Linked DNA regions of Drosophila melanogaster. The protein of the gene in region 1 interacts with the protein of each later gene in a pairwise test. Each region holds a gene or a part of one and is shown on either strand. Other genes may lie near its edges. The genes, in order: CG14232, Brd, CG5021 and CG14194.

Region 1 (8,862 bases):
CAAAATTAATATATATATATTTATGATATATACGATACATCGGTCCATAGTTATTTCTAATTATTTAATCATTTATTTTGTACATTGGATTGGATTATAATTTACCTACCATATGAATCATATTTAAGATGCCTTATGTATGTACATACATACATACTATATAAAAATCTTAACGAAACAACTTGGTTTTTATGAGCTTTTCAACGTTGTAAACGCCTGTACGATTTATTAACTATTAAAACTAAATAATAATAATGAATTTAACACATCACTATTATCATCATATCTATATATTTTTTTTTGTATCTTATTGTTAGTAGCAATTGTTTCTTATTTTCCTTAAATTATCCTGTTGGATATCCTTGCAGGATACGAAGAATCCCCCGCCGGTGACGAGCAGCTATCACCACCAGCGGGCGCCGCGGACGCCGGAATCGTACTTCAACGTGCCGGAGTCGGTGGCCCTGCTGAACATCGTCAAGTCGGAGCGCATCCAGAGCGCGTTCCAGTCGAACCGAAAGAACCATGCCAGCGTGTGGGAGATGGTCGCCGAGGTGCTCAACCGCTTCAGTGCGCGGAAGCGAACGGCCAAGCAGTGCTGCAATCGGTACGAGAACCTCAAGAAGATCTACACGCAGCTGAAAAAGAATCCCGAGCGCCATGTGCGCCGCAACTGGCCGTACATGTTCCTCTTCAAGGAGATCGAGGAGCAGCGCGGCGAGTGCTGGGGATCGAATGGCAAGCGTCTGGCGCTCATAACCAAAAACCACAACGAGCTATCCTACTACCAGCGCCGACGGCAGGCGGCCGAGCTGGGAGTGCTGCTCAACAAGGACAACCTCACCCCGCACCAGCACAGCCTACTGCAGAGCCTCAGCCAGAGCCAGAGCCAGAGCCACTCGCACGCCCACTCCACGGACTCCTCGCAGAGCGGGAGCAAGCTGGACCGCTTCCTGCCCAATCACTTTGTGGAGGCGCAGCTCAGCGAGGTGGCCGGCCCGGTCGGTGGCTCCGCATCCGGTGTATCCGGCATGTCCGCCGGCGGCTTCGACGAGAATCCCCTCCAGATGCAGATGGTTCAGGCAGCTGCTGCCGCTGCCGCCGTGGCCGCCCATAAGCGACATGAGCTCCAGATGGCCAGCGTTGGCGGCGTTCAAATGACGCCCGAAGACGACGACGAGGATGAGCCCCAGCGGCCAGCATTTAAAAACCACCTTCACGTCCTGGGTCATGGCCACGGCCTCGGCTTGGGCCACGCGCCAATGGACGACTCTGGCGAAGCACCCGACTTCGAAAAGGACTGCAATGGAGCACTCAACATGCACCACCAGAACAACAATCACAACGAGAACCACATATCAATGAAGTGAGTAAAAGTTGTAATAGATTTCTGGTAAACTATGTAATAGACAGAGGAAGGGTTTTCAATCTCCAAAATATAATTGTTTATAGGCTCTTGTCTGTCCGTCGATATTTCCGTAACTAAATCTCAGAACGTTGCCACGCCCAGTCTTACGCCCACCAACAGTTTCGCAATCAAAAGACAAAAAAGTTCGTTGCAAGATTGAAAATCGTAGTGAAATTGAGAATATAGATTACTTTATGTTTCTTCCATTCAATTTAAAGATGTTACTTTAAGTGTAAAATCTAAATTTCGATGCCGATTCCGATCCTCTAGGGATTACTTACATATACTGCAAACTACAAACCTAAAAGATACTTCACTTCACTGATAGACTGACTTCACTTCATCAAACAAACAAAGTTAAGAAATAAATCCTTTTTACTCAACAATTATCAGTTCAAAAGTAATGGTGTCCATTTAATTGTTAATGGGGAAAGTCCAGATCGATTATCGGGTTGCCCCGTTCTCGAGATCCCGCCTAAGACTCTCGCTTCTCTGCCGCCCACAGGTCGGAGCCACTTTCGGAGGGCGAGTTCAATCCGGACGACATCCAGCTGATGCAGACGAACTACAATGGGTGAGTGCCGGCGGCGACGGAAGCCACCTTCTTCGAAACCGATTCCATTGATCAAATCCATGCTTGCACAGAGCGCAGAACTACTATTCGCCGGGCATGGATGCGAATATACTGCACCCCGATGTGATCGTCGACACGGACATCCTGTCCGACTGCTCCTCATCGACAACGCTGAAGAAGAAGCGCAAGATGTCCACCTCGACCGACGGCGACAGCACCAATTACGAGCTGATCGAGTATCTGAAGCGGCGCGAGAAGCGGGACGAGGAGCTCCTCAAGCGGATGGATGCGCGCGAGGACCGGCTGATGAACCTGCTGGAGCGCACGGTTGTGGCCATTGAAACGCTGGCCGTAAAGCGGGCACTTACGTTTCCAGTTAATCCAACCAAAGAGAACGCGCCAGCGACAGCCAGACCGTTGTCTCCGCCACCACCAGAGGCTCAGTTTGCAGCGCCGCCAGCTACGCAGGAGCAGCCCACCAGTCCGGAACGCAACGGCATTGCGACAGGCAGGAGCGGCACCATTCCCGTCGCGAATCAGGATGCCGCCATTGAGGTGCCAGACGACGGCGATAGCGGTGACGATGTTCAGGTGAAGGACAAGCTGGCCAAGCTGACACCAAAGGCTGGCGGCGATGAACGGACGGATGGCAGGCAGACGTAGAATATAATGCATCCACTACTCGCTAGATCTACTTAAGACTTCTACCTACATACATATATATATATATAACCCTTCCCTACCGCCACTCCTCTCACCGGATGGCGGCAGAGGATACAGTGCCAAAGAAGAGCCATGTCTCGAATTTCAGTTGAGATTGCCATTTTTACTTAGAGAGCCTACACAAGTGCTTAGCGGACGAATGAAACTTAATTGCAATGTTGAATATTAAGCGCCGCAATTTTTGTTGAAGCGATAATCTTAATTCACTTAATTAGCTTTTAGTTAGGCGGAATCCCACCAGCGGATGCCGAATGAATCTCAACAGAGCCGGATTCACACCGCTACGATAATCTAGTTGGAGCTGCAACGGGGCTCAAATGCATTTGTGCAGTAACTAAAGCACAAACATTTCATTTTTTTTTTTTGTAATCTAGATGAATACATGTACCATTTACAAAAAAAAAAAAGAACAATATTGGTTTATTTTACACAGGATTATGCTTAAGACTAAGGGTATAATTTAACCTAGATCAGTTTTTTCCCTTTTTATTCCGCTGCAGCTTGATATCCTTGCTGGGCAGGCTCTTCTTCGCCTTGGCGATCTTTTTGGTGATCAGCAATTTCAGGCGGTTCTTCACTTGGTCATATTCGGCATGGTCAACCACCGCCTTCGTGGACTTGAAAAACTTGGCGCCCTCTGCAAAGAAAAGACGATCGCTTGTTGAGAATGAAAAAATACGCACAGATTCACGTTCTTACCCTTGAGACGAGGATCGTTTCTGGGTATGAAGAAGGACTCCAATTTGTTTTTGTTCCTCTTTTGACCCGACTTCTTCGCTGGCTGGGCCTTGTTCTCCTTGCTGACCTCAAGCTCCTGCTCCTGCTCCTGCTCTTGCTTCGGCTTTACTTCGGTTTCGTCTTCGCTGTCGGACGAGTCGTAGGAGAACGGATTGAGAGTGGCCAGTCCGAGCTTATTGGCAGACGTCTTGCCCACCAGGATCTTCTCATGGCCCAGCTTCTCCAACTGGTCCTGGCGCTTGGCCACCTCCTTCTCCGGTGCACTGCCGAACATGTCCAGCAGGCTGAAACCCTCTCCACGCGTGTTCAGCGAATCCCTCAACGTGTCGGTGACAATGTAAAAGGCCGTCTTCGAGACGGCTGAAGCTTGACTGTTGCCCGCGTCGGCGGTCTTGGCTTTCGTACTGGAAGTCTCCTCCTTCTTCTCCTCCTCCTCCTTGGGCTGCTTTTGGCGCATTAGCTTCTGATGGCCCTCCTTGGCCGGATCGAAGCGCAGCATCTTTTTGTTCTTTGGCGACTTACCGTCCTTATCGTTCGCACTGGTGATCGCGTGTCCCACAACCTGCTCCAGAATGTTCATGTGCCATTTGCGCTCACTCTCCTCCGGCTCAGGCTGATCCTCCAGCTCCGCCTCTTCCTCCTCGTTCACAAAGTTCGATGTGATGCGGAAGCGGGGATCTATACTCTGTTTGCTCTGCATCTCCACCAGACGCTCGCCCTTCTTGCCCTTATGCTGCGGCAGGACGATCTGCTCCTCTTCCTCATCGTCGTCGTTCTCGAACAGATCCCGCTTTTGTATCTTGGCTTTCTGGACGGGCTTGGACGCCTCCTCCTCCTCGGCGTCGCTGAATTTTATTCTCTTTGCCTGACTGCCTTCGACTGATATCACAGATAGCGCCTGCTGGATGGCTGACTTCTTTTGTTGGTGTCCCTGACGCATCTTGTTGAGCGACTCCTTGCGCTTCTGTTCCGCCTGGCTGACATTGGCGTCCGGCTTCTGTTTGGCTGCCTTGCGGTGCTGTTCGATGACATGGAGTGGCTTCACGTCGTGCTCCTGCTGGATGACAATCTGTGGGAAAGGAAAGGAAAGGAATTTAGCTGACAATGAGCTTGGGAACAATGAGTGCGTGCATACCCGGCCATTGTGCATGGAATTGGCGGCGCGCTTCTTGGTAATCAGCAGCTCTGGAGCGACCTCATCATCACCAATCTCCTCATCCTCTCCGAATACCCTGCGCTTGTTTTGGCCACTTTGCACCAGGAGCTGAGAGCTCGGCGCACGCACCTCGGACTCGTCTGGCTCGCCCTGTTCCCGGCGCTGGTTCTCTTCGCGTTCGCGCTTCAGTCGATCCAAAAACGATTCTTTGGCAAGAGAAACTCTTAGCTTTTCGCCGTGCAACTTCTGCCATTTGAGCTCGTTGACGCCTACAAAACCAAGCTATGGTTACTCCTTCCGTCTGGCTGTGATCTTCCGCGGATAACTTACAGTACTGGGCATCATCCGTCTGCACGGTGACGAAGGCAATCACCTTAGTGGCCCCATCCTGCTCCTTGCGCTTCAGATCCACGTGCTCTACGTGACCGTAGTCCTGGAACAGGATCTGCAGGTCCGACTCCGAGGTCCTGGTCGGCAGATCCGCCAGGAAGAACCGAGTGCTGCCCATATTATGTTTACGCTTGCAATGCACGTGTAGAATCCAAATCCCGGCAAGAATTGCTGTGGGCCAGTGTGACCGCGGGCAGATAAAAACTTACACTTAAATATAGCCACAATTCCAATTCCCAATTGCTTTATACAGGTTTTTAACAAGTCCAAGCAACACTAAACCAGCTTTCAAATTTATTTAGCAACTTTGTAAATAGGCAAATACATTAAGTTAGACAAAAATAATCCCCATCGGTCAGTGTTGCAAGGCGAGCAATACAATTACTTTAGGTGCGCAGCTGGCTGGTCACACTGGCAGCAGACGTCACAATAAATTCTATTATTTTGTTTTGTTTTGTGCGAAAAGTTTGCAGGCCAGCAATCGTGGACTAGCCCACAAACAACGGCAGCATGGCGAGCGGGACAAGCGGCACAAGCAGCAGTGAAACGGCCCAGTCGACGGACATGGCACCATCATCGGCCGAGAAGTGGGGCTTCCCTTTGATTGAGCTCTACCGCCTGGCATTCACGTTCTACAAGCGTAAGAGCAGAGATCCCGGCACTAGCGCACCAATAACGGCTAATCTCACATATTGCAGGGAACTCCGGCAAGGCCATCCACTTGTCGTACGAGGACAACCTCAAGCTGATCGCCTTCAAGCAGCAGGCGGCGCTGGGCCCCTTCAACACGAGTCGCGCCCCGGCGCTGGGCGTCCTGGACGTGATCGGACGCGACCGGCAGCAGCACTGGCAGCTGCTCGGTGAGATAACGCGCGAGCAGGCGATGGAGGGGTTCGTCGACCTGCTGGACACAATGTGCAGCGCCTTTCGGCCGTACATTGAGGCCGTGCGGCAGGACCGCGACGAGACGCTGCGCAAGGAGCTGCGCCTCATGGAGGAGAAGAAGGAGGCACGCGAGCGGCAGGAGAACGCCCAGCAGGAGCTGCTCGAGGAGGGTTACAAGGAGGAGCTGCAGCGCCGCCAGCTGCAGGACGCACTCAACAAGCAGACTTACCAGCAGTTTAAGGTAGCCCATCGATTTTTTCAACAACACACCGGCCCGGCCCTCTGCACCTGTTGTTGTGCTAAATAATGCATGATAATTACTGGGTGCTCGGCCTTGGCTGCGCTGTCTGCCATTGAAAAGGGGTCATGACCCAGTTCTCAGGCAATTGCATGCCAGCTCCTGTACCATTAACTTGGCCCTTCTAACGCTTACACTCGTTCCACAGCTGTACGCTGAGAAGCAGTTCCCCGGAAACCCCGAACAGCAGGCCGTGCTTATCCACCAGCTGCAGCGGGAGCACTATCACCAGTACATGCAACAGCTTCATCTGCAGAACCAGAACCAGAATCAGAATCAGAACACGGAGGACAAGGGACACCAGGAAGCAGAACACGTCCCTGGCAATAACAACAACAGCTCAACCGACTTGCCCAACGCCATGGAGGGACTGAAGCTCGGTGAGGTCGAGACACAGCAGCACCAGCAGCTGGCCGAGCAGCAAGACGGGCATGTAGAGCAGACGTTGGAGGGCGTTGGGCAGGAACAGCACGGCGAGGAAGAGTACGACGACTACGTTATGATCTGCCCGGCCAAGATCTGGACTCGTCCCGACATCGAGCAGTTTAAGACTGAGGTGTCCGCCGGCGATGGGGACGGCGTCATCACCATTGGACACGGCGACACGGTGACGGTAGGTGGCAATCAACTAATGACGAAACAAGGCCCATATTGACCGGCACAATTTTGCAGGTCCGTGTGCCCACCAACATGAACGGCAAGTGCATCTTCTGGGAGTTCGCCACGGACAGCTACGACATCGGCTTCGGCATCTACTTCGAGTGGGCCAAGCCCGTGACCAACGAGGTGACCGTGCATGTGAGCGACTCCGACGAGGACGAGGATTGCGTGGACGAGGACTACCTATCCACCACCGAGGACCTGGAGTCCGGCTCGCTGTCGCAGGAGCGCGGCGCAGTTAACAACCCGACTGCTGCCCCCAAGGCACCCATTTCCATTATCGTACCGATCTATCGACGGGAGTGCTACAACGAGGTCTACGTGGGCTCCCACTCCTATCCGGGCGAGGGCGTCTATTTGCTGAAGTTCGACAACAGCTACAGCATCTGGCGCAATAAGACGCTGTACTACCGCGTCTACTACGAGCGTTAAGAGGCCAAAATGTATTTACTTACCACTAACTTAGATGAATCCTATCTCCGTACGAACGGCTAATGTGCAAGTCCGGAATAATCTGTATGTGCGTGTGCGTGAGGTTTTGGTTTTACGTGTGCGTTGCTGCAATTCCGGGAAACAAGCGGCGGGAAAAGACCATGCCGATTTCAGACTAAACCAATATTATTTATTATTTAGTTGTAACCGACGAAGACAAGTCCAAAATTCAATTTGAAACTAATAAACAATATAAAGACAACTGTAAATAATCACTTTTCGAAATCTCTTTGCTTCTTAATGAAGAATAAATTATTCGTAAAATTCACTTAGGAAACTTCTTCATACGACACAATTGCTATTACCAATTTTGGGCATTGAAACAACTATTATTATTATTTTATATTAAATAAAAATTGCATTAAAGTATAGTTAAGAATTTGGCTCGTGTAAGGGGCCCTAACACTAACGGTCCCACGATTTGCTGGTTGTGGTTTCTATCGGTGCCTGGTCACACTGGCCATTATGCATGCACTTCGTAATTTTGCCGGCAATGGAATAGCAAATGTATTTGGCTGTGGGATCAGGCGCCGGCTCAGCTATGTCCTGGGCATCGAGACCTCCTGCGACGACACGGGCATCGCCATCGTGGACACCACGGGCCGAGTGATTGCCAATGTGCTGGAGTCGCAACAGGAGTTCCACACCCGGTGAGTGCTCACATCTCCGCATGCGGTGCCCAATGATGAACTGAATCGATTGCAGCTATGGAGGCATTATTCCGCCCAGGGCCCAGGACCTTCACCGCGCCCGCATCGAGTCCGCCTACCAGCGCTGCATGGAGGCGGCGCAATTGAAGCCGGACCAACTGACGGCCATCGCGGTGACCACGCGTCCCGGACTGCCGCTGAGTTTGCTGGTGGGCGTGCGCTTTGCACGGCACCTGGCCCGTCGCCTGCAGAAGCCCCTGCTGCCCGTTCACCACATGGAGGCGCACGCGCTGCAGGCCCGCATGGAACATCCGGAGCAGATCGGCTACCCCTTCCTCTGCTTGCTGGCCAGCGGCGGCCACTGTCAGTTGGTGGTGGCTAACGGCCCCGGTCGCCTTACGCTTCTTGGCCAAACACTGGATGATGCGCCCGGCGAGGCCTTTGACAAGATCGGTCGGCGACTACGCCTGCACATTCTGCCGGAGTACCGCTTGTGGAACGGAGGACGGGCCATTGAGCATGCCGCCCAGCTGGCCAGCGATCCGCTGGCCTACGAGTTTCCGCTGCCACTTGCCCAGCAGCGGAACTGCAACTTCAGCTTCGCCGGCATCAAGAACAACTCCTTCCGGGCCATCCGAGCGCGCGAGCGGGCAGAGCGGACACCTCCGGACGGAGTCATCAGCAACTACGGCGACTTCTGCGCCGGCCTGCTGCGCTCTGTCAGCCGGCACCTGATGCACCGCACGCAGCGGGCAATTGAGTACTGCCTCCTGCCGCACAGGCAGCTCTTCGGTGACACCCCGCCCACACTGGTCATGTCCGGCGGTGTGGCCAACAACGATGCCATATACGCCAACATCGAACATCTGGCCGCGCAGTATGGCTGCA
Region 2 (7,074 bases), on another chromosome or scaffold:
TCTCTCTTCCCTCACACTCTGTTATGGAATTTTTTCAACAAGTTTCGACTTGTCCGCTCGGTACTCTCCTGGAATTTTACGTTTGGGATTTAGGGACTTCTACTTTTCTTGCGACAGAGTCGAGCAGGTAAAGAGAGGTTGTGAGGCATGGTACTCTCAGAGGGGGCGAAAGATCGAGAACCGACCGAGATCTATGCGACTGTCAAAAAATCCGTTAAAAACCTGCAGTGAATGAGCAACTCGAGTGGGTAATACCCAGCATTTGAATCACGTGGGAAACATATGAAATTTTAAAGTAAATGACTTAGTATGGTATGCTATGTTCCAAAAAATAAATACCATTAGTAAAATACTAAATAATTGTTAAATATACAACGATCTCTTTGTATTTATTGTAATTTTACCGATGTACTTCCTACATACCTTAATTTAGCAGTGTGCTGTTAAGGAAAACTTTTTTTGTAAGGCTGTGCCGATCTTAATTATTTAATTTTAAATAGTTTTTAATTTAGTTGTATACCAAATATTTTAGGATACATTTTATTCTTGCTAGTCTTTTAAGTTTAATTTTAATAGAGTCCTTAAATATTGATATTTTTCATCAAGTTTATGATCTTATTACTATAGTTATTATAAATTCAATGAATTCAATTCAATTAAATTCAACCTTATATGGCCCCTTTCAATATTACTATTATAAATAATTTTTTTTAGAAAAAATACACTTAAAAGATATACACACAATAAAAACATATTAACCTTATTTTTCGTAAAATCTATTTTTTATGCACAGACTCAAAAATTCATCATACCCTGCTTTCTCAAGGGTAAGGACATGCTCCTGATTCCGAGACCGCTTTCTCTTGGCTCTCTTTTGTCTCCCGCTCTCACTGTTTGTGCAACCACCTGCAGGCAGTCTGCCTTCCCATTGGCTGGGTCCATCGATCGAGAGAACCGCCGCTCTGTGCGAGAATTCTCCCCCGCCGAGAGAAACCAAAGAGAGCAAATCGTATATAAGGAGTCGGTCGTGCAGCAGGAAAACCAGAATACTACCAACTCTCAACCGAGTGCAACCAACTAAGATCCCAAGTTTTATTATAAATCTCAACAATCCTCAACACAATGTCGTTCATCACACGGGAATACAAGTTTGAGAGCAGCAAGGTGATGGAGCCGAAATCAGATCAGCACACGATGGCCATGCGGAGTCTGAGGAAACTGGTCAAACCCCTTCTGCGACTGGTGAAGAAGAAGCAGCTACTCCGGAAGACTCTGGCCGAGATCCAGAACCAAAATGCAGTCAACGCCTCGCTGGAGGACATGCGCAAAGATCCGGCGGCCAGTTGCGATAACATGGCCAACGAGGAGCTGGAGCAGCGACTGTACACCGATCTCCGCCAGTGCCCCACCAACGTGGCCATGATCGTGCAGCAGGGTCAGCAACAGAGCATCGTGCCCGTCCATCCGGAGCAGACCTTCATCCCGGTCCACTTCGCCCGCACCACCAGCGGCACCTTCTTCTGGACCTCAGCCGAGGGAGCTCGCCAGCACCACGAACAGCAGTTGCGCCAGCAGTTCGACCGTTGGGTTCAGGCCTAAACATCGCCAGGATGCACAGTTCCACTTCTCGATGCACCGGGAAAAACTCCAATTGGCAGCTTTAAGTGCAAGTGTCTCCGTCCATTGGTCGTCGGATGGATGCGGGTTCAGCTTCGCATGTTCGTAATCTCAGGGTGATATTAGGCATAGATTGGATTCTTTGGGCTCGCGTCCCAAGGGAAACACAACTCTAATTGATATTCAATTATCACAATCAAGCGTTACTATCGTTAACTCATTGTGATTTATCGTGTCTTATTAGCCTTAAGTTAGTCTTAGCCGAATCATTGTCTTCCATGTTTGTTTGTTAGGGTCTTCGTATAAGAATTAGGCTAAGAATCATTGTCTTCCATGTAAAACTTTAGCTATAAACACTAATATCATATAAGAAATAAATAAATCGAAAAAAGGAAATTCTAATGTCTCTTTATTCTGAAAACTGATATGAAATAATATGAATAAGGTTGGAAAAGAAAAATCCCAAATTGAATGACCATTGTAAGTATAGTTAAATTCGGCTACTCTGTACAATTCTGATTTGAAGAATGGATTTTAAATTGGACTCGCTATGCTGGTGAACACATTCCAATTAGTGACTGCATTCATTCCTGCTTGGAGACCATTTGAATCCAAAAATGCTGCTGGTAGGCAGTTGGAAATACTTCCGTAAGAACAATAAAGAATTTTATTTACATTTATATTTAGCCTGACCACAGGCTAATATAATATTCACCAAATATTATTTTTTGTCTTTCATACAATTTCTGCATCTGTTATCGTTAAAATATGATTTTTGTTTCAAATATACCTAATATATACCTTTGTAGTATATATGTATTTATTTATTTATTCTATTTATATTTCGAAAATATTGGTATAGTAAATATCATATCTTTTCATATCATATTATGGTTCACACGCTTCACACGCACCCCAACCACCTAGCGCGAGGTCTAATCCAGCTCAGCAGCCGTTCCCGTCTCCGGCGAAAGGACCTACCAACCCAGCGAATAAATTATTAGGGCCGTTTAAACATAGAACAGTTGGAAAAATAATACAACTGTTCAAAAAATACTTGTTATAGTTAAGATTTTTAAACTTATTGTTAGTTCTTATACAAGAAGATTCAATAAATAAAAGCAAAGTAAAATAAAAAAAAAATATTATGGTTAAAAAAAATTACTGTTTGTATCTACAAATATTAAAATACTACAAAGAATTCTTCAAGAACTAATTATAAGAAAACCATATCAAATAACCCAGTCTAAAATGAATAAAATAATTTTTAAAAATTTTGAATGTGCTACAAACGCGTGAATTCTCAAAATTCTTTAAATGAGTCAATGATAAATATTTATCACAATAATATCATATATAATATGTATGTATATACGGCTAACAAGCCACCGAACTGAAATAAAATAAAGATAAAGAATTATGTATTAAAGAATACATGTATTTTCAGTGTAAATAATTTTTTTTTATAAGAAAAATGCAACATAAGTCATATTACAACACTCGATCCACAATATTTTGTTTCACGATAGCCACAAGCTAATTATGCAGGCTTCATTCTGGCGCTTGAATTTCAGGAAACCTGACACTAACAACTAAACTTGAAACGCCACCAAAATAAAATCTTCAAGTGCTTATGGGGAATTATGCCTGTGGAATAGTTAAGCGAGCCACAAGCACGCTAGGTTCCTGGTTGGTCACCCCCCAAGTGGATGGGCCAGGATCCTATCCCACTCCATCTAATGCAACTGGATTGGAATACGAATGAATCCCAAATTACAAGTGCCAAGTATTTCAATAGGAGACGAAATTCGAATTTCAACAAGAGACGAAATTTTAATTTTCTTGGAGAGCCCGAACCAACACACAAGTGTGGGGACAGTGAAACCTGTCACAGAAAACCATATTTCCAAGTGGTGGTTCCATGCAACAAGAAATCCAAAAATATCTTAAATCCCTATAGCAGATTTAAGGGAAAGATAAAGAAACCTTTCATGCAATAAACGAAGAAATTCGAGTTTCATTACGCTCCAAATTCAAATTTTGCCAAGGACCAAAACAACCCCGAAGAACAAGTGTGAGGACAGTGAAGCCTGCCAGAGCAACTACGCTGCAGTGAGTGTGGAATCTTGAAAATCCCTGCACACCTTCGAGCGAATGTTCACTGTACTCGAAAGGACCACAGTCTACCTGTACTGATCAAAAATGAAATGTTGACGTGTAAATATTTCTCGTTTGCCGACAACATGTGTTTAACGAGGGTCTGTCACTTTTATCCTCCACTGTCAGCCTATTAACAATTAATAGCCAAAAACTAATCAAGGCATAAATTCGAGCCGAGTCCTCCGCAAACAAACCACTCAAATTACTAACCCGAACCCGATGGAAAAGGGATGATCGTTTATTTTTTCATTTCTTTCATTTTTTGGCTATTTGTTATGCTTGCCGGCATCGTCCTCCTATTGGCATTCGACTGAAATTATACTCTCCCACGACGAAAACGAAATCGAGGGAGAGATTTATTTAGGGCCTACGAAAATTGTGGCCTTACTTCGCACACGTGCAAGGGTCGCTCAAAAAAGGGACCCGAAACGATCCCGAACTACCTGCAGAGAGTTGAGGAATGCGTGACTCTCATATTTTGAGAGACCGAGAAACACCTGCGCGCTAGGACTCGTCCTGATTGGTTGACTTAGGGGTTGCTTTCGCAAGGATCGGGTATTTAAGCGGTGCGCAATTCCGAATAGGACATCACATTCAATCGCAACGTTGAACAGCCAAGATCAGTCGACCAAGCAAGCAAACTACTAACTAGCAAAAATGGCCTACGAAACTCTGATGAACACCACCATCTACACCACCACTCCTGTCTGCCAGAAGAAGACCTACACACCCGCCAAGGCCATGAAGAAGATCTTCAAGGTGGCCTGCAAAATCTTCAAGGCATCGGGCCACCAGCAACTGAAGAACCACTCCATGCCGAAGGAGCTCCCACTGCCCACTTCCGAGGAGGAGCTGCAGAACTCCCAGAACGAGCAATTGGAAGCCGAGCTCGTCCAACTGTAATCGAGGAAAATGGGAAATCCGAAAAAAAATACCACTTTCCAATCAGCTTTAAAGACTCCAACGGATTCGGTCTCTAAACATCATCCGCAACAGCTTTAACTCTCCACACTGTGCAAGTGGAGATTTTAAAATGAAATGCACAAATATCCAGCTTTAATCATTGTCTTCCATCTATGTTTAAGAGAGTATGAATAAATACATAATATTAATACCGAAACTTGTTTGCATTTCTGATTTCTTATTCGAACTTTCCCTTTGTCATTGTAATTTCCTCGAAGGTTTTTCCAAGAATCTGTAAGCCAAAAACCGTTCTTATCCCGTACCCCTGACCCTTCCACATTCACGGAACAGCGAGACCCTAAGAACCTTAACTCGAAAAACAAAACCTTTACCTGTTCCCTTTTGTTGGAAACCTGTTGTGGATTCGAAAAACTCGAAAAATCAAGCCGAGTGAGCCGGGGAAACCTGTTACCTCCAGGCGATTTCTGATTTTCGTTTTCAGCGCTCCTTCTTAGGGTTGGGCCCTGGACAAAATAAATCTCGAATTGCATCGGAACAGGTAGAGGGTCCCGGTCCCAGTCCCTCGGATGATAAACAAAAAAGGCAGGGGCCCTACGCTACGAGCAGAAACAAAGCCAATCCTATCTCAATAATAAATGCGAAAAGGCCGCACGGTTCGGTTCGATCTTTATGGCATTTCAAAGGGGGCATTCTCGTACATAAGATCGTGTGTGCGTTATGTAAATAGTTTTACATAAAGTCGATGCAGATTCCTTATTGAAAGCATACAACCAAGTACAGTTCGGGATAATGTTACAGGTTACAGGACCCGTTGGAGTTTTAAATGGGCAATGATATAATACAAAGATAATGATATGATGATATGATGATGATAATTTTATTAAAGAAACAAAAGTTTAATTGATATTAATAAATCTAAATAAATATTTGTGTTTGAAATCAAGATAATTACATAAATATTAAAATAATTTATAGATTTGGGCGTTGAATTTAATTTTATTAAACTCTTATTTTTTATTTTTGTGATTCAAACTCTGTTATGTGTAGGATTTTGTTTGAGTTGGGGTAAATCAAATAACAATATTTAAACCATTACTAAACATTACAATAAATTCGTTTATAAGATAGTCGCAAAAAATGTGTTGTCGTCGCTTTATTAAAAACAACAATATTTTATGATATGTATCATATATGCAAATATATATGACTAATTAATTAATATTCATTATTATTATTTATTTAAAGATTCTAAGACCACTTACTTAACAAACCATAGACATCATACTTCTTCAAAACAAAATATTTGTCTCTGAGGATTTCAGCTCTTTTGTGGCCCTAAGTAATAGAAAAAATGAAACCTCAAGTAAATTTATATTAGTGATTGCTACAAACACAATTTGATATCAATAGGGCCCAAACATCTAAACAGACCTCATCTGCAGTTTTATATTTCTTTAGGATCTTTTCAACCATTTAAACACGGGTTACAAATTCTCACAGGCTGTAAATATAAATGTAAGGCGAGCAATCACCACATCCCACAATAAATGAGTTATAATACGATACATTCACAAAAAATGAACCCCCATTCTACAATTAATTGAGGGGTCTGAACCAAAAAAGTGAGGACTAGAGATGTTCAAAAATGAAACCCTCTGTCGTGACACGAAAATATTTGGGAAGCCCGCTGCCCAAGTAACCAAAATACGAGGAGCTCCCCAACTGAACGTGAGAATTCTCAAGATCGTGCCTCAAAGGACTTTCTGCGATGCCATCCCTAATCAACCGAACCGAAAAACATAAGAATGAAAGTGCACGATTTGTGTAAATTTGGCTTAGATTGTAGCTGGTTTTCGGTTACAGGATCGACATATTTCTGATGAACTGGCAAAACAAACCCAGTCGAAATCCAAAACAATAACTGGGTCTCCGAGAGAAGGCCGGCAATGTGCTGTTCCCACGCCAAGGATTCGTTTGGAACCCGGGGATAATTGTCTTGAAAGGAGGAATGGGCCCGAGATTCCCACGCTTCGCACAAGATCTCGAATCTCAGGTCCTGCAGGACCTACCTGCTGCCACTGACTAACGTGTGAAATTTCGGATCCTTGCACCTGCCTGCCTTCCGAGCGACGTGATTGGCTGAGATGCTGTAGCATCGCTCCTGTCTCCCAAGAAAGTATAAATAGCGCCTCTAATCTTAGTGACAGCATCACACAGCATCCGAACGTCGAAGCGAGAACATCCCAGCACGCATTCTACGCACTCACCACCAGAAAATATCTGAACGAAATTCATCTAATGTCGGCCATCAGCAAGCAGAAGACCCTCAACACCATGTACAAATCGAAAGTCTCGCCTTCGCGTCGCCTGAAG
Region 3 (7,775 bases), on another chromosome or scaffold:
ACTGCCCCGGTGCCAAACTCCTGGTCCACGGTGATATCGAAAACGAGTGGAATGGTGTCGTCACGGAAAGGATGCTTGAGCTTAACCTGATCAATGTTTCGGTACTTGGCGTAGCGCGGATCCAGCGGATGTACTGCGACAGCTACATCACCCAAAATTGTCTCTGGTCTAGTGGTAGACACCACAATCTCTTCAACCGAACCATCGGGCAGTGCTTCACCATCCACTACGTGATAGGCGAAATCGTACATTCTGCCAAAGAGTACTTTGTGATCGTAGCCTGGAACGGATATCTCTACCGGCTCCGTGATCTCTACACTGTCCACCTCGATATCAGATATCGCGGAACGTAGAGCGGTGCACCAGTTGACAACCGAGTTGCGCCGCTGAATTAGGCCTTCTTCAAAGAGTCGCTCGAAAGCTACGTTGACCGCATGCGCCTGCTGCTCATCCATTGTGAAGTATTCTCGTTGCCAATTCAGTTTACAGCCGAGTTGGCGGAGATCCTGTACGATACCAGCACCCTTTTCCGCCTTCCAGCGCCATACTTCGTCCAGAAAAGCAGAACGTCCCAATTCATGACGGGTTTTCGCCTGAGAAGCGGCAATCGTGCGCTCTACGACCACCTGGGTGGCGATACCCGCGTGATCTGTGCCTGGTACCCAGTCCACCTGGTAGCCAAGCTGTTCGCGCTGGCGGGCAATCACATCCTGCACGGTGGCCATCAGTGCATGGCCCAAATGTAGATTCCCGGTTACATTTGGTGGCGGTAGAAGCATGCGATAGGTCCCCCGCTTGCAACTGCTGGCTGAAGCCTTGGGCAAATTTGCCTGGCGATGCTCCCGCTCCCAGTAAGCATTTTCCACTGGTTGTGGCTGGTATCCTGCTGCCAAGGGAAGCTCATTAGCCGCATCTAAAAGTGGAAAAAAGTGAGTTCTTTAGCCGGCACTGGGGTTTTGAATGAAACTGGAGGTAACGCACCTTTAAGGGTACTGTAGTATAGAGAGTACACCCTTGGCTGGCACAGGTACTTGTGTCTGAGCAGTTTACTGCTACAATTCCCAATTATTTGCATTTTTAATGTTGTGTTATGTTATGTCAAAAAAAATTGTAATCTTATTGGTGATGGTATAAAAACAGCTGAGGAGATAATCGATATACGGCTTATGGGCGCCAATTTCAAACGAGAAACGGTAGAGCTTTCCTCCTCAATTTTTTTTCAAACTTCATTATTTATTTGATTTGTCAAAAGAGAAACATAAAACATCTCAGAGGGTACGTATGTGAATATCAGGATCCAATGTAATTTTTTTTAATTTATAAAAGAGAACAATTTTATTAAGAAACCATAAAGAAAAGTACGATAAAAAAATATATTTTTCAGGCACTGACACTGCATGAGGTGTAATGATCAATGAGCCGGTCTGCCTCCCGATAGCCCGCCTCCACAGCTCCGTGAACGGTGGAAAAGTGATTCCTGCTAGACGCTTCTCCGGCAAAAAGGAGGCCTAAATGACCATCTTCGCCCAACACAGGAGACTCTAGATCCCAGGGGCCCGTATTCCTTTCATCGGCCATAACTCCACGATAACTCCAACTGCCACGGAAATTCGGATTCGAAAACCACGAGCTGCGAACGAAACGCTTTGGCGGCGGAATTTCGAAAGTGAGGAACTTTCGGAAAAGCCAGTACAAGCCCTCAAGGACTTTCTCATCGGACAGGGTCTCCATGTGGCGTCCATGCGGACCATTCACCCAGGCCATCAACATTCGGGGCTGACAAGTGATCATGTGTACACCGGTTATACCCTCCACCCAGAAATATTCCGTCTTTCGCAGCTCTATCAGATCCTCTTCCAGCCAAAAGCAGAAGAAACCCACCCAGCCGTCAGGAAGAGGTTGCTTCTCATACTCCAAATACAGTTTGTTCACAGTGCCCAGGGTGAGGCTGCGAATGGCATTCACCTTGGCTGCGGGCAGCGGCGGGACGAACAGTTTCTCGTGCTGCTCCTGCAGGACTCCCAGGGAAACGGTGCAGATGACGTGGTCCGCCTCGAAGTAATCCCCATCCTGGCAGCGCAGGATTACCTTACGGGGGCACGCCAACTCAATCTTGATGACCTTCATATCAAGTTGAATACGTCCTTCCAGTAGACCCAGCTCTTCTGGCGTATCCGCGCTGACCTTCATCAGCAGCCGCAGGAAGCGCCGGTAACCCTTCGTTCCCCAGTGGAGCAGCTTGTCGCCATCACATTCGTGGTACTCGATGTGTTCCCTAACGGAGACCTCGAAAAGATTGTCCGCACCAATAATAGAGCTTTCATGCTTCGCAAATGTATTCAAGGCCTCACTAGCCACATCCCTATTCACTTGGGGTAGCTCGGACTCGATCTTGCGCCAGAAGGTCTGAGTCAGGTGGGTGCCAAAGGATCCCACAACCGGGTGAGGTCCACTCGGCATGCTCTTCACAGCAATGTCGTGAATCCTGCAGGCCAACTCATGTGGAACCACCTCCTTGTTGGATCTCACCCTCTTTATGGGACTGTAATAGTCGCCTGTCTCGTGCAGGATACCCATATCCTTGACCATGTCGTATACACAATTTTGCTGCTTTCCATGACACCACTGGGCTCCCAAATCGATGACGTTGTCACCAAAATACACGGTGTTGATCCGCCCGCCAATGCGATCCTCCGCCTCCAGGATCTGAACATTCTGGAAATTGTTTTGCAGGAGTCGAGTGGCGGCGGCTATGCCCGAAACTCCTGCTCCGATTATGATTATCCTAGAGGAGGCACGGCATTTTTCCATTTTGAAACGTTGGTAGTTAAGTTCGACAGAAAGAGCAGACGATCAACGAGCTACTGATGAAGTTTGTGGGCTAACTTGGCAAGTGATGGATGCTGCATTTCAATGGCTTCCACTGCGGTTGGAGTACAACTTTTTGCACACTCTGCTGGTTTTCAGCCACAACCATGTAACATTGAGAATCCGGGTCACAGAACATAAAAGTCGTCTTAGATAATATTGCTTCGGCTTTTATTACTTAATATGATGCGTAAAAAATTATGTTTCATAAATAACTTAAAAGTGGCATTTTTTTCTCATTTGGCGCTGCTATTGCAAATAACAATTCCACAAACAAAATGAAGGGGAGCTCAATAAAAAATGTTTGCAAAATTTTCAAATACGATAGGTTTAAGCTCGATTACTTATGGTGCTGCCAACCCAATCGAAGTCGAAGAAGTGCTTCACCCCTGCGAGCTATCGACTCAGTGCGAAAACGATAGAAGGCTACGCAGGCAGAAACAACAACAACGTCCCAGGCGAAGAAAATATATTAAATCCCCTGAAAAACCACGAAAATCCATGAAAATTGCACCCAACTAGGAATTAGAAGTCACTCCCTACACCAGCATGGCATCCGCTACGGTAAGAAATGTATGTATGCCGCACTAACACCTAACAAGCTGCTTGATTGGGGTGCCATTCTGACAATACGATCCGAGGTTTTCCACGAAAACTCATATTTTACAACGAGGCAAGCCAAACTAATCCCACATACGTGTTACACAGGTGCCGCTGCTCGACGATGACACGATACCCTTTGGCGAGGAGGACGAGATGCGGGATCCCAGTCGCGCGGGTCAGAAATACACGTATGCAGAACCATAATGTTTGTTGATCAATTCCATTTACCCCAACCCAACCCAACGCGTGTACTCCACAGGCACCCGTACGTCACCTTCTTCCACCTGTTCTTCAGGGGCGCCGCCATCCTGATCTATATGTTCTGCGGTTGGTTCAGCGACTCCTTCATCACCAGCTTCGTTTTCGTGGTGCTCTTCCTGTCCGCCGACTTCTGGACGGTGAAGAACATCTCGGGCAGATTGCTGGTCGGTCTCCGCTGGTGGAACTACGTCGACGACGATGGCGTATCGCACTGGGTGTTTGAGTCAAAGAACGTGAGTCACGAGCATAGCTAACTAGATTGCCCTTGATAATGAAACGCAGTCTGAATCCTACCAGAGTCGGGTCAACAAGAACGAGCAGCGCATCTTCTGGCTGGGACTCATCCTCTGTCCCGTCTTCTGGGGCCTCTTCTTCCTGTTCGCCCTATTCGGCCTGAAGTTCAAATGGCTACTGCTGGTAATGATCGCCATTGCGCTGAATGCCGCCAATCTGTATGGCTACGTCAAGTGTAACTATGGTGCCAATAAGGATCTGAATTCCGCCGCCACAGACTTTGTGAAAACGCAGTTCTTCAAGAATGCCGTGGACATCATGACAAGGCCCAGTGGCGCCCCACCGCCAACAAATGTACGCCCGACGGGAGTCGTTTGAGCTGGTGGAGACGCCATCTACTAAGTCACCTTGCCACCGTCTGCTGCAGCGCATTCCAAAGAGTATTCGACGCTTCTTCTGGCGCGGACCACGACCTTCGATTGGCATCGCTGTCTGTGTACCATATGTAAAACTTAATTTAGCCATACTGCAATCTACCATAATCATTTCTTACTTTTACTCGGATTAAAGGACCGCATGTGCGTGTGACATGCAACCAGTATGCCACATGGTTTTATTTCGAATGGTTTAACTACAAATTTAAGAATAGTTATTAAAAGGGATTCAGATATAGCGAAATGTGTTTTATTTTTATTCTCTGCATCTTAATCTGAGTACGAAAGACGTGAAGCAAATAATTTTCATTACTGTTAGATTACTATAAATTATTTAGTTTATTTTCTTTTTTGTCATTTTAGTTTCATATATGAAACTGTCGTAAACATATATTTAAAAATGAAGCGTAAATATAATCATTCCTGCAAAACTAAACTAAATGAAATTGCAAAACAATTTAAAAATATTTTTACATATTAAAAAACCTGATAATTTTTTAGTTCTTTGTTAGTGGCAATAACGGTTCATAGGCAAAACGCAGTGTGGTAGTGGACGCCACAACAAAGCTTTCCGGCTCAGTGAGCGACGGGCACACTGGCACAAAGCACAAAACAGAACAGTCGGTCGGAAACGGAATCGAAAAGAAAGAAAGAAATGCAATCTGTGCCGTAAGCGGGGGCGTGGAACAAAAGTTTTTGCAGCCCGGAACGAGTTTCATTGTTAGCTGCAGAGCAGCAGTGCCGTAAGTCCGCCAAATCCCCGCCAGAACCGGTGACGTACGCACTGCTGTGGGTTCAAAAAAGGGGACTCGAAAGGCGGGATAACCGTGGCGAAGAAGGGCGGAGGTGGAAGGCGGCGTCGACAGAAGCAATCAAGTGGCAACAGGAGATAGCCGGGGCAAAATGCAAAAAGTTAATTAGTGGGGGCCAAATCAAATCGGACACCCCGCCGAGGGCGACACCATGGAATTCGCCGACCTTATAAAGACCCCCAAGCTGGACGGTGTCCTGCTGCACGACCCATCGAATGCGGGGGCGTCGGGTGCAACAGTTGGCACACTGTGCATCACAGGGCACCATTTGCTGCTCAGCGCCCGCCAGGAAACCAGCCAGGAGCTATGGGTAAGTGGGTTGAGGCCTGCCCACCTAATCCGATGTGCTTCGGCATCAGTGGAGCGCTCATAATTGAATTAGAAATTCATCATGCTCATCCCCCTCTTTTCAGTTGCTCCACAAGAACATCGACTGTGTGGAGAAGAAGCCTAGTTTGTCGCAGAATATCGTGGTCGGTGGGATTATCACCCTGAAGTGCAAGGACCTGCGCATCATTTCGTTGGAGATAAAGTGCGGCAAGGAGTTCTTCAACGTGGCCGCATCGCTGGAGGCACTCAGTGCCATCCAGAACACCGAACTGCTCTATCCATTCTTCTACCGGCCCATGTACTCGATCCTAGAGGACGGCTACACGATGTTTAGGTGGGTACACGGCTTCTCCATAACTAACAAATTGGCTACAATTCAATTAACCTCCCCATCCAAACGACAGGCCCGAGCTGGAGTTCGCCAAACTCATAAGCGGGGTTGGCATGGGCGGTGCGTCCTCGCCGAATGTGGCCAACATAACAATTTGCATGCCATCAACTTCGACATCGACGTTGACTGTGGGCGCCGGCATTCCCCATCCTCTGCAAAATGGCTATGCGATAGAAGCCCTTGCGTGTGGTGTTGGTGGTGTGGGAGGTGGTGCGCTTCAAAGTCCCCAGGCCTCCTGCGAGTGGCGCATCACCAACGTCAACAGAGACTTCAGCGTCTGTGCCACATATGGCGCCACGCTAATTGTACCTAAAGCAATTACGGACGAGCAGATAGTGCTCTCCGCTGCGTTCCGCGATGGCGGCCGCTTCCCCGTGCTCAGCTACAGGCATGAAAATGGCGTAAGTCATTGCATCTACATCATCAAATTTTATTAAATTAATTCAATGATTCATATTTGCAGGCCACACTAATGCGCAGCTCCCAGCCGCTGTCCATTCAGGGCATCAAGCGCTGTAGAGCTGACGAGGCTATCCTTAATCTGGTGCTGGGTCGCAGTCGGAAGGGGTTCATCGTGGACACTTGGGGTAAGGGCAAATCGAATACGGAAACTGACCTGCACTACTCGCAGTGGAAGAAGGTAAATCGTTCAATTGGAAACGTCAGTTCGCCCGCCTCTATTTTGGACAGCTTTGCTCGGCTTATCGAAGCTTGCAACGATTTGGGATGCAGTACTGATAAATGGCTATCGCGACTGGAGAACAGCGGCTGGCTTAGTCTTGTGCTGAACTCACTGAACGCCTCCTGTGTGGTGGCCCAATGCCTGGACCAAGAGGGAAGTCCAGTGTTAGTGCACGGTGCTAAGGGGTTGGACTCCACGCTTATAGTCACCTCACTGGTGCAGATCATTCTCAATCCGGACTGCCGGACTGTAAGGGGGTAAGTAATCATATTCTCCTTACCTTGAAAAAGATATTTATGCCGTGTTCCCTTTGCAGCCTGCAGGCTTTGATAGAGCGCGAGTGGATCCAGGCGGGACATCCGTTCGCCTCGCGTCATCGCTACTCATGCTATACACCAAATCAGACACGCAATAAGACCTCTGGTGCCACCTTCGTCCTATTTCTGGATTGCATTTATCAGCTTTACACGCAGTTCCCCTGCAGCTTTGAATTCAGCACTCAACTGCTGATCCTTCTATTTGAGCACAGTCACTTTTCGCAGTATGGAACTTTCCTGTGCGATTCAGAGCGGGAGAGAAACGAACTGAATGTGCACACCAGGACGACGAGCCTGTGGTCTTATTTGAACCGGCCTGATGTCCTTCAGACATTCTTGAATCCGCTGTACGAGCCTAATGCCAATGTGATATGGCCATCGGTGGCGCCCATAAGCTTAGAGCTGTGGAGTGGTATGTTTAAGAACTTAATATATGAAACATTACTCATCAAACATGCATTTTAGATCTCTATTTGCGGTGGGTGATAGATCAACGCAGCTCAGTCACAGTCATGTCGCAAATTCAGGAACTTGTCACCCGCGAGAAGGAACTCAGGACTCAGGTAAGTCCACTTGAGTATTGATAGCGAAATGCTTACTGATGACATGTATCTTTCAGGCCCTCAAGTTGCGCAAACAAGCCATGGAGCTCGGCCAGGAAGTGTCCAACCTCATGAAAAGTGGAAACGATACATAGTCGGCTACCTCAAATGTTCTCTATCTTTTAATCTCCTGCATGATATACACTTATTTTTGATACGTTCTGTTGCAAGATTTCGACAATTATTTAAGCACATAGCAAAACTAATGTTAAGTCACTAAAAGTTCCATTTACAAGAAATT
Region 4 (9,305 bases), 510 kb from region 1:
TCAAGGTACAGGGTATGTTCAAATTGGTGTTCAGATTATTCCAATCTGAACACCAATTGGGTTGATTCCTAAAATATCATCCACTTGGTATGACTTGAATTAGATTGGATCACTAATAGTCAAATGGAATCATAACCATGTTGTGGACACAGGAGGTCAAATAAAAAGATGACCATAGAGAATGTTTAATGGCAATTGGATTCATAATGTTTCCTTTCGATTCATCCAGTGAATAACCAGACGCTCAATTGTATTAATTACAGCGAAAACCAGTCGGCTTTTTTAAAGACAATTAAATCCCGATCGATACATTTGGTATGAGAATTGCAACTGCAATGCTCAGATTTTAACAAAGTAAATGATTTGCCGACAGCGAAATGGATTGAAGAGCCACCTGGATGGCCAAAACCATATGTTCATTTAGCAGCGATAAGTATAGATGCCCTATAACCAATTAAAAGTAGCAAGTGTGGGCAAAACAGTAGAAGTAGTTGGAGTTACCTGTATTACTGATGATGAAGAAGTGAACTCCTCCTCCTTTATGGAAGTACACATTCCATTTTCGGTACACTCAAATGCTTAATTGGAAGTATAGAAAACATGTAAAAGTTTCAAATGCCAACTAGAGAGAATGCTATAGTCAAGTTCCCCGACTATCAGATACCCTTTACTCAGCTAGTGTGAATGCGAACGCGAAATTTCTGAATTTTTCTGGTATATCGATAGATATTGGGGAATAAAAATTGTTCAAAAGTGTGGGCGTGGCAGTTATGGCCGCTTTAGGGCGTTAGACTGGGTGTGGCAAAAAAAAAATTGTAAATCGATAGAAATTTACACGACTAATAAAATTATTAAAAAATATCCAAAAAAAATTTCAAAAATGTGGGCGCGGCAGGTTTGGGCGGTTTTAGGGCGTTAGAGTGGGCGTGCCAAAGTTTTTTTTAAATCGATAGAAACTTACACGACTTATAAAATAATTTAAAAATATTTCAAAAATGTGGGCGTGGCAGTTTTGGGCGTTCGAGTGGACGTAGCAAAACGTTGTTTGCAAGTCGATAGAAATTAATGAAGACTAATCAAAATGTGAAAAAATATCAACACATTTATTAAAAGTGTGGTCGTGGCAGTTTTGTGCGGTTTGTGGGCGTTAGAGTGGGCGTGATAGCCTTCTAGCATTTATAGTACCTAAGATCTCGACGTTCATACGGACAGACGGACATGGCCAGAACAACTCGGCTATTGATCCAGATCTAGAATATATGTATATCTTCTGTCTGTTACATACTTTTCAACGAATCTAGGGTATAAAAAATATAAAACCCTCGGTATAACCAGTACGATCACAAATTCATTAACAATATTCAAATATTTATAAGCAACTACAGTTTTTCCCGGCATTTACAACATATAAATGTTTGCCGGATCTACGTCCAATGATTGTGTTGCTATTTGGGCGATGTTCTTTTGAAAACTTGAATCTCCAGCCACGATGAGGACACGCTGTCCGGGAATCGCGGGATTGAGGTGGGTGGCCAGTTCGGTGGCATCTAATCGGGACACCTTTGCCGTCTCCTTGTAGCGTAGATTGTCCCGGAGCTGAGGGCACTGCTGGGCACAGTGGCCCGCCTCCTGGCAAGCGGAGGAGTCACACTGCTGATGCGGCAGGTAGAGGCAGCTCCTGTAGTTCCAGAACTGGGCGAACTCGAGCATCTCCTCGCGGAAGTAGACATGCAGCAGGTCGTGAGCGCACACCAAATGCCACAGGCGACTCATATCCTCCTCGTTGTCCAGCACCTGCCGAACCAGCGGCAGAGTGGGTGCAATAGCAACTCCCTGGGCGATAATATAGATGCACTTGGCCGGCTGCGGTTCGTGTACGTATTGCCCGATGGGACCACGGAATTCCAGCAGATCGTCGGGCTGTACGGCTTGCAGGTGCCGAGACATTGGCCCCTCCGGCTGCAGCTTCACCAGGATACGGAACTCTTTGGCCACAAAGTCGCTCCAATAGGGCGAATACGGACGCAGCAGGGAGCCGACGCGCAGCATCACATGGTGGCCGGGCGGGATGTCAAGCACCGTGTCCACCGCTCCATCGCCGTCCCCCTCCTCTGCTGCATGAGCAAAGTGCAGGAGCAGCAACTGTCCATTGGGTCCCAGCGCTTCCCGCCGCAACAGGCGGAACTTCGTGTAGCTCAGGATCACGTTGCGTTTGCCAGCCAGCAGGACGCGTTTGCTTGGCCGTGGCTTGTTGTCGAGGATGCAGTTGGTGCAGCCATTGCCGCAGCAGTCTGAATCCCGCAGCTGGTCCTCGTTTTCCTTCAAATCTTCCAAATAAGATAACATTTTCCTGTGCCTATCGAGGCTATCGATAGCAGGCTAGCGTAGCCGGAAATCTGGCGAATTGTAGCCAGACATCTGGCTAGTCCTTAGTCAAGCCAATCGCCAGAGCAGGCAAGAGTTATCGATATCGAATCTCGGGACAGAAATGCCAGTCAAAAAAGTGTGTAAATAAAACAAAGAACAGAATATCTACAGGGAAAGGGGTGAAAGATCGGCGCCAGGCGTAGAGTACTAACTGCCCCCGCCCCCCCACTCCATCATAACACACAGCCTTGTTCGGGCGAAGATCGCTTCGTGGAGCGGACGCGGTGCGGCGGGTGCCCACGAGCAACTAGTGTCCAGGTACCAAGTGTCCAGTGACATAGCTCTATGGTGTCCTCAGCAACATGAATCTGGAATCTCTGTTCCGCGACTTCAATCCCTGGTGAGAAGCCTCCGACTGCGGACGACCGGATCACATGGGTTCCCAATCTAAAACATAATCGACCATGTTCCCTTTCAGCAAGTTCATCGTCCACTGCAGCCTGTTCATCTTTGTCACGCTCTTCGCCTTGCGCCTCGACAACTACATTGGTGGGTACTTTTCTGTGGCAGTTCTGGAATACACAACGTCACCCAGAATTAAAATAGCACGGGGATGCAAGAAAATACAATCATATAACAATACAAGCATATACGACCCATACACAAATATGTGTACGGTGCACCATCGCTTCTTCTAGAGAATAGTCCAGATTTATTGTATACAAGGGTTAGCAAGCAGATCATGAGATTGGATATAGCAATATCGAAGAAATCGTCTGACCATAGAGGATCATCCAAATTTGGTCACTTAACGAGGATATTAGTTCTCTCGCTATTTTAAATAACTTATCTAAGCTAAATATTTAGATTTTTAATTACTGAACAAGATTTATTGTAGGGCATTAACCTTATAATTGGCCTAGTAGCCTAGTCTAATCGAATGCCTTATCCCAGATTGGCCCTACTGGGCGATTTTCACACCGCTATGGATATGGAAATGCACCGCCATCCTGGGCGCAATCGTAGGAGCCATTGTGTGGTGTCGGTATCCGCATTATCGTCTCGAGGGCGATGCCTACACGCAGTTCAAAGCGATGCTCATCTCACTGGCCCTGCACCTGATCCTGCTGATGTTTGAGCTGCTGGCCTGCGATAAGCTGACCTCGGACCGTCACTTGTGGGTGCTGGTCTTCATTCCGCTGATCTTCGGCTCGGTGGTTAGTGTGGGCGCCTGTGTCTGGGCCGTCAAGCACGATCGCTCCTTCGAGCTGGAGCTCTTCCTGGCGGTCAACGCGCTTCAGTTTGTTTCACTGCCGCTAAAGCTGGATCGCTTTGTCTACTGGAACTGGGACGTAGTGTTTGTGCCCATGTGGATCGTCATATGCCTGAGCCTGGTCAGCGTATTGTATAACATCATCTTCTGTGGCATCATGATGCGTACGCCGGAGGTCTCGCTGCAGCAGAAGAAGGCGGCATTAAACGCAGCGGTGGGCAACATCTGCACGGTGCTCCCACTGCTCTGCTTTCAGGTGAGACCTCATCTAGTCCCTCCAAAAGATTGTGCATCGCTAACCCATCTATTCCGCCAGGTGGTCATCTGCGACAAGCTGGACGGCGAGCTTAAGTTCCCGTACATCGTGGTCTTCTCACCGCTGCTCGTCTCTATTCTGGCGCTAATAGTTCTTAGCTCCTCGGCAAAGGGCGGCAACATGTGGTGGTTCGGCATCCGCAAGTCTTTCAGCCAGTTCCTGTTGTCCGCGATGCCGTTCCTGCAGGAGTACGGCAACATCAGCTATCACCCGGAAACCCACAGCAATGCTGCACAGTCCATGCCGCTGGACGCAGCGTCCTCCTCGACGAGCATGGCGGCCAGCGAGCAGCTGCACGAGTTCCACAAGCACGACAAGAAGAGCAAGAAGGGGGCCAAGAATGACATTCTCAAGCCGGTGGTTCCGTTCGTCAGCATCGATCTGCCGGACTAGATATAGACGGCCAGTACAGCACAGGAGCAGTACAGGAGCAACAGTAAAACAGCAACATTTACAATAAATCGCAAGAACCGCGTAGACTTAAGGACAGCCTCTTTGCACGCGCACAAGGAGACGCCGCACACCTTTGTTCAGGTGTTTATGTTAGGCATTGTTAAGCATACCCATACCCACTTACACACTCACGTCTCCGTCGTAGCTTTTAGACTTGTACTGAATTTTAATTGTAAGACAAACGCTAACACCGCCCACGAACCATGTCCAACCAACCAACCAACCAACCAAGCACATCGCACCCACCATGCTCCCTTCCACGCATCCGCCTGCATATGATAGCACATATAGCACATACATGCATACAGGACCTGACCACCACACGCTTTTGTCCAGACCCGAATCGGACTCCAACTTGACCACAAATTGAACAGCGCCGCATTCGGAATTTTGACTCGTGTGCTAGTATTATATGTAAAACATCTCTCACACCTTGAGAAGCCCACTTATGTGTAATGACCTACTATAAAGTGTAAATAATTAACAGAGTACGTGAAAACGAGAAATATACTTAAGTGCTTCCATCAAAATGAAAAGACGATGATGAAATGGTTCGAAATTCGTGTGAGTTGTATTTATCTTTATTCAATTAGGAAGCTACAAAGTTTACATATGTATTTCATAGTTAAGTTTTGCATTTCATTTTTAATTAATTCTCTTACGTTGTGTCGCCTAAAAAGTTATGCAAAGGTAAAAAGTTGCATTTTAAAAAGTGACCATCCATTTGCCGGACAAAATAATTGAAGATTAGCCGGTGAGCGGTATATATAAAGCGCATATATATATATATATATGAATATATGAATATAGTCTGCAACCGGATCGGATGCGACTGGAAGTACATATTCTTGGGGGTGTGGGAAAGAGAGAGTGAGGCACATAATCGGAAATGGGGAATCGAAATGGAGCGGGACAGAGTTATACATTAGTATAGATATAGTTAAAGTGGGCTAAACGCAGGCCGTGTAAGCATTAACAATAATTCAAATACAATATATATCTGATCGATCGCGAGGTGCAACTGGCAACTTAACTATTGCATAACATATCGCATGAGTGGGCGTGAGCTTGCTTGCATTTGTTAATCTGTATAACATTTTTTTTTTATAGAGTGTCCGTTTGTATTTGGTTTTTTGTGTGAGAATTAACAATTGTTTCATTGGCTTAGCTACATAAATACGTTGCTCGTTTTCGGGAACATACGGGGTTATTACCTAAGACGTCGATCTCCTGCAAATATAATGCACAATCGCAATCATAATTAAGGTTAGCAATAGCACGTACTACTTATCGAATAAAACCTTCCGCCTGAACCTGCTGTGTACATATGGCACAAAGTTGGCCAAGTAGCGATATCAATTTGAACTCTTCTCGATTTACACTAAGTACTCTTGTGTAGAAGAAAAAAAAACAAAAAAAAAACACCTACGCAACTCCTTTGCTGCAAAATATATTGATCCTAATCTGGTTTGCAATTCGGTTACCTATGATGGGCCTCTAGTTTTCACCGGATTGCTCCGTCTTTCGATTTTTATTTCACTATTAAAGTTGGCTAAGAACAATTGTTTACTTGGCTACATTTGCTTATACCACTGACCTTCTGACCCCGTGAGCACCAGAAGCCGCACCTCCACGTCCATTCGGATTATTCAATCCGATCCACGATCAGTGAGGGATTCTGAAACTATGGGCATGAGTTAGCTAGCTATCAACTATCCGGGAAATATCATTTGCCATCACTGCTCGGATGGAATCTGTGGAGGTCCTGGTTCGTTGCCCGCAGCAAAGTCGCACACTTAATGTCTATTGTCTGATTACCGTCTATTAGAATCGTGTCCTTGTTCCTTTTATGTTTGTTTGTTTTTCTTTTGTGGTTGGGGGCCAATAGGGCCTGTCCCAAGGAGGCTATTTCCCGCTGCTCGTTATCATCTTGTATAAACGATATGTACTAAGTGGTAAGTAATGCGACTTCTATTTATTTTACTTTACTTTACTGCCTAACAAATGAAACTGCTCGCACCTGGCTTGGCTCCTTGCATTCCATTCGAAATTGACATGAGATCTGGCGAGCTGCGATCCATTTGGTTTGGTTTTGGTTTTGGGTGCACTTAATCCCTAGGTAACTTATTTCACGTATTTAGAATGTGTACATAGAACGGTATGCCCTCTAATCTGGCAAAATTCTTTACATACTTGTTGTTAAATTCAATAGCTATATTAATCATGGAACTATGGAACATTTATCTCTGGATTTTGGTTTGGTTTCGCTTTCGGTTTAGATTGATACATAAGTGTAAGTGTAAAGAGAATCGAAGAATTAGAAGAAGGCTAAATTTGCTATGGTTGATCGGTATGGAAGCGCTTAGTTTTAAAGTTGAAGAAGTTCGTTAATTGTACGTTTCGCACGGGAATTACACGCACACGGTTCACTGGAGGAGTGGCGTGCTGGGGGCATCTAGTCCTGGTCGAATCTAGTCCAGTTTCGGCCGGTTGCTCAAATACTGGGCAAGATTCTCGCGGGGTCCCTGCACGATCATCATGAACTGCGATGGGAAGTCCCAGATGATGGTGAAGTGGAAAAGCATGTTGGCAATGGCGATCAAGTACTCGAAGAACGCGAACCAACTGAATGCTGTCAAGAGATGTGGGAATAGAGATGTGGGAGATTCATTATCTGTTTCGGGGTGGAAAATGTGAAACTAAGAGATTTGAAACGCACCCAAGTCGTGACAGTAGAAGCGATGTTTGGCAAAGAACACCAGCAGGCCGACGGTGCTCAGGATGGAGACGGCGAACAGGATCTTCTTCCACTTGATGGAGAGGAGCTGCTTTTCGCTCAGTGCCTGTCCGGCATTGAGGATGCCGTTCAGCTTGATGGTGGCCAGCATGTAACACAGCGAGCAGACCATGAACGTGATGAATATGCGCTCGTGAACGGCTGGAAGAGAGAGAGCAGACGGATCAGAGGGATCAGATGTACGATTGGGGGGCTGGGCAGGACCTACGGTAGTTCTCGCGATTCGATATATAGGTGACGCCGCCCAGGGACGCGATCTCGATGCAATTGAGCACCAGGATCAGCGTGATGAGCAGGCTCGTCTGAGGCACCTGGGCGGGACTGATCCGACGCAGCTGCGAGCGGTAGTAGTTCTTGTAGACAAAGGCGATGGGGATTCGCGGTCCGATGTGGAGCGCGATGCTGAAGCGCCAGAAGTAGCGCTGCGGACTGACGCCGGTAATTGCACTTATCGAGGGTATAATGTTGTAGACCTGGTAACGAATGCCATACATAATTAATAACATTAATCTGGAGACTGAAGATATGGTGGGAGATGCTCTTGAATATGGACGGACGGGTTACCCTTGAAGTGAATGCTCTCTATACTTGCAAGGAAAATGAATTATGGCCACTAATAATCAAAATATATATTAATAACATAAAAAAATCAGATATGTATAAATCTATTTGAGTTATATATATACCCAAATAGGAATATATTTCACTGGTGAAATTTATTGTAATTAAAATTAAATAAATGACCGCTGGTGAAAATAAAAACCGCCATGCGTGGAGCAATTGTGAGCGAATCGTTTGGAAAAGCGGATTTGCGTGTCTCCAATCTCGGCGGGATTCCCGCAGGGATGACAGTGATTTATTGGCCACGGGCGACGCGCCGGAGCCCTGCCCAAAACATTCATCATTCATCAGCATCATCCTGGCCACTGAATACCCTTGGATCGCCCGGTGCCCATTTACTCACGCGGCAATGTGTCTCGTGGACATCGTCGTACTGGAAGACGTAGGCGGTCACGAAGCACGTGAAGAGCGTCACCAGCGGCAGCAGGGCGGTCACCACGCACAGTTCATGGAAGCTAGCCAAGTAGTGGATGGCAACCTGCTGCTCCTGCGGCTCCCTCGCATCCGCCTGCTTGGAGCTAATCGTTGTGTTGATCTGCAAGGAGTTGCAAGGAATGGAGGCCATTAGGATCGAGCGGAGTTCAAGCAAAACCACTGCGCACTATACTTGGGATGTGCGAAATGCCACATAATAACATGTGATGGAGAGTATTTGCAACATATAGCTTTTCGTTATCAATTAAATGAATTAATTAATATTAAATTGATAGTTAAAATCCACTCATTGAGTTATTAACGTATAGGTAGTAATCAGTATTAGGGTTTTTCGAGTTATCATTGAAATTAAATATTTCCCAGGACAATGTTTGCTTATGTGGCATCGTTCCAGCCCAGAACCGCAGTGGTTTCGCCTCTTAAATGGAGGAGTGGAGAATGGAATGGGATGGCAGCCCTTACCTGGCCATAGTTGGTGGTCGAGTGTTTCGTTTTGGTTAATGCACAACAACGATAAAGCGCTAAAAAAAAAATAAATAAAGGTAAAAATAGAAATGAAAACCAAACAGAAGGCGTGTGAATAAATCAATAAACAAAAGACGAACGATGGGGCGCAGCGAATTAAGGCGGAAACTATGCGATCCGGCTGAATAGTGAATGCGGTTCGCCTGGCATCCCGAACTGGATGAGCCGGAGTTATAAATAAACAAGTCCTTGAGTTCTTGGGCAGACAAGGGGAGTAGGGGGCGGGGGCAGGATATGAATGATAGCCTGGGGGGGTGGCAAGGACACTCTCTCCCCCTTTCTCACTCTCTCTCTTGCTCTTCCTCTCTTTATCGTTCTCTGGCGCTGCGAAGCAGCAAAGGATTAAGGACCAAAAATAGACGAGCCTCGCCTGACGTAACCATTATTACCAACGGCAGCTGGCCAAAATTAATTAGCTCAAGTTAATGGGAAATTGGCCGGGCGTCAGAAATGAAATTAAATATGTGCTGCGATTGAATCGGGACACCGGAAGCGAGCAGCTCGAAGCTCGCCAAGAA

What was found.
Region 2: the proteins of CG14232 (region 1) and Brd interact in a two-hybrid assay, tested with the Drosophila melanogaster proteins (one large-scale study listed by BioGRID).
Region 3: the proteins of CG14232 (region 1) and CG5021 interact in a two-hybrid assay, tested with the Drosophila melanogaster proteins (one large-scale study listed by BioGRID).
Region 4: the proteins of CG14232 (region 1) and CG14194 interact in a two-hybrid assay, tested with the Drosophila melanogaster proteins (one large-scale study listed by BioGRID).

What each region holds. Positions count from the first base shown.
Region 1 is NC_004354.4:19,700,656-19,709,517, reverse strand, and holds CG14232 (uncharacterized protein), read left to right. Parts: upstream 1-5,258; 5' UTR 5,259-5,379; exon of another isoform or gene 5,380-5,455; 5' UTR 5,456-5,499; coding exon 5,500-5,629; intron 5,630-5,687; coding exon 5,688-6,115; intron 6,116-6,320; coding exon 6,321-6,785; intron 6,786-6,844; coding exon 6,845-7,264; 3' UTR 7,265-7,530; downstream 7,531-8,862. Other genes in the region: meso18E, read left to right, coding at 369-1,366, 1,914-1,982, 2,054-2,645; CG14230 (uncharacterized protein), read right to left, coding at 3,176-3,342, 3,405-4,512, 4,579-4,868, 4,930-5,107; Tcs4 (Threonyl-carbamoyl synthesis 4), read left to right, coding at 7,790-7,974, 8,030-8,862.
Region 2 is NT_037436.4:14,968,305-14,975,378, forward strand, and holds Brd (bearded), read left to right. Parts: upstream 1-4,362; 5' UTR 4,363-4,434; coding exon 4,435-4,680; 3' UTR 4,681-4,894; downstream 4,895-7,074. Other genes in the region: Tom (twin of m4), read left to right, coding at 1,123-1,599; ocho, read left to right, coding at 7,000-7,074.
Region 3 is NT_037436.4:8,963,552-8,971,326, forward strand, and holds CG5021 (uncharacterized protein), read left to right. Parts: upstream 1-3,277; 5' UTR 3,278-3,417; coding exon 3,418-3,441; intron 3,442-3,576; coding exon 3,577-3,659; intron 3,660-3,730; coding exon 3,731-3,965; intron 3,966-4,014; coding exon 4,015-4,344; 3' UTR 4,345-4,620; downstream 4,621-7,775. Other genes in the region: ValRS-m (Valyl-tRNA synthetase, mitochondrial), read right to left, coding at 1-913, 982-1,075; CG5653 (uncharacterized protein), read right to left, coding at 1,381-2,811; CG5026 (uncharacterized protein), read left to right, coding at 5,364-5,522, 5,626-5,876, 5,947-6,334, 6,397-6,872, 6,932-7,344, 7,398-7,495, 7,552-7,629.
Region 4 is NC_004354.4:19,191,103-19,200,407, forward strand, and holds CG14194 (uncharacterized protein), read left to right. Parts: upstream 1-2,452; 5' UTR 2,453-2,729; coding exon 2,730-2,767; intron 2,768-2,845; coding exon 2,846-2,916; intron 2,917-3,321; coding exon 3,322-3,896; intron 3,897-3,956; coding exon 3,957-4,349; 3' UTR 4,350-4,935; downstream 4,936-9,305. Other genes in the region: CG7914 (uncharacterized protein), read right to left, coding at 1,399-2,346; CG7990 (uncharacterized protein), read right to left, coding at 6,881-7,041, 7,129-7,347, 7,415-7,679, 8,171-8,362.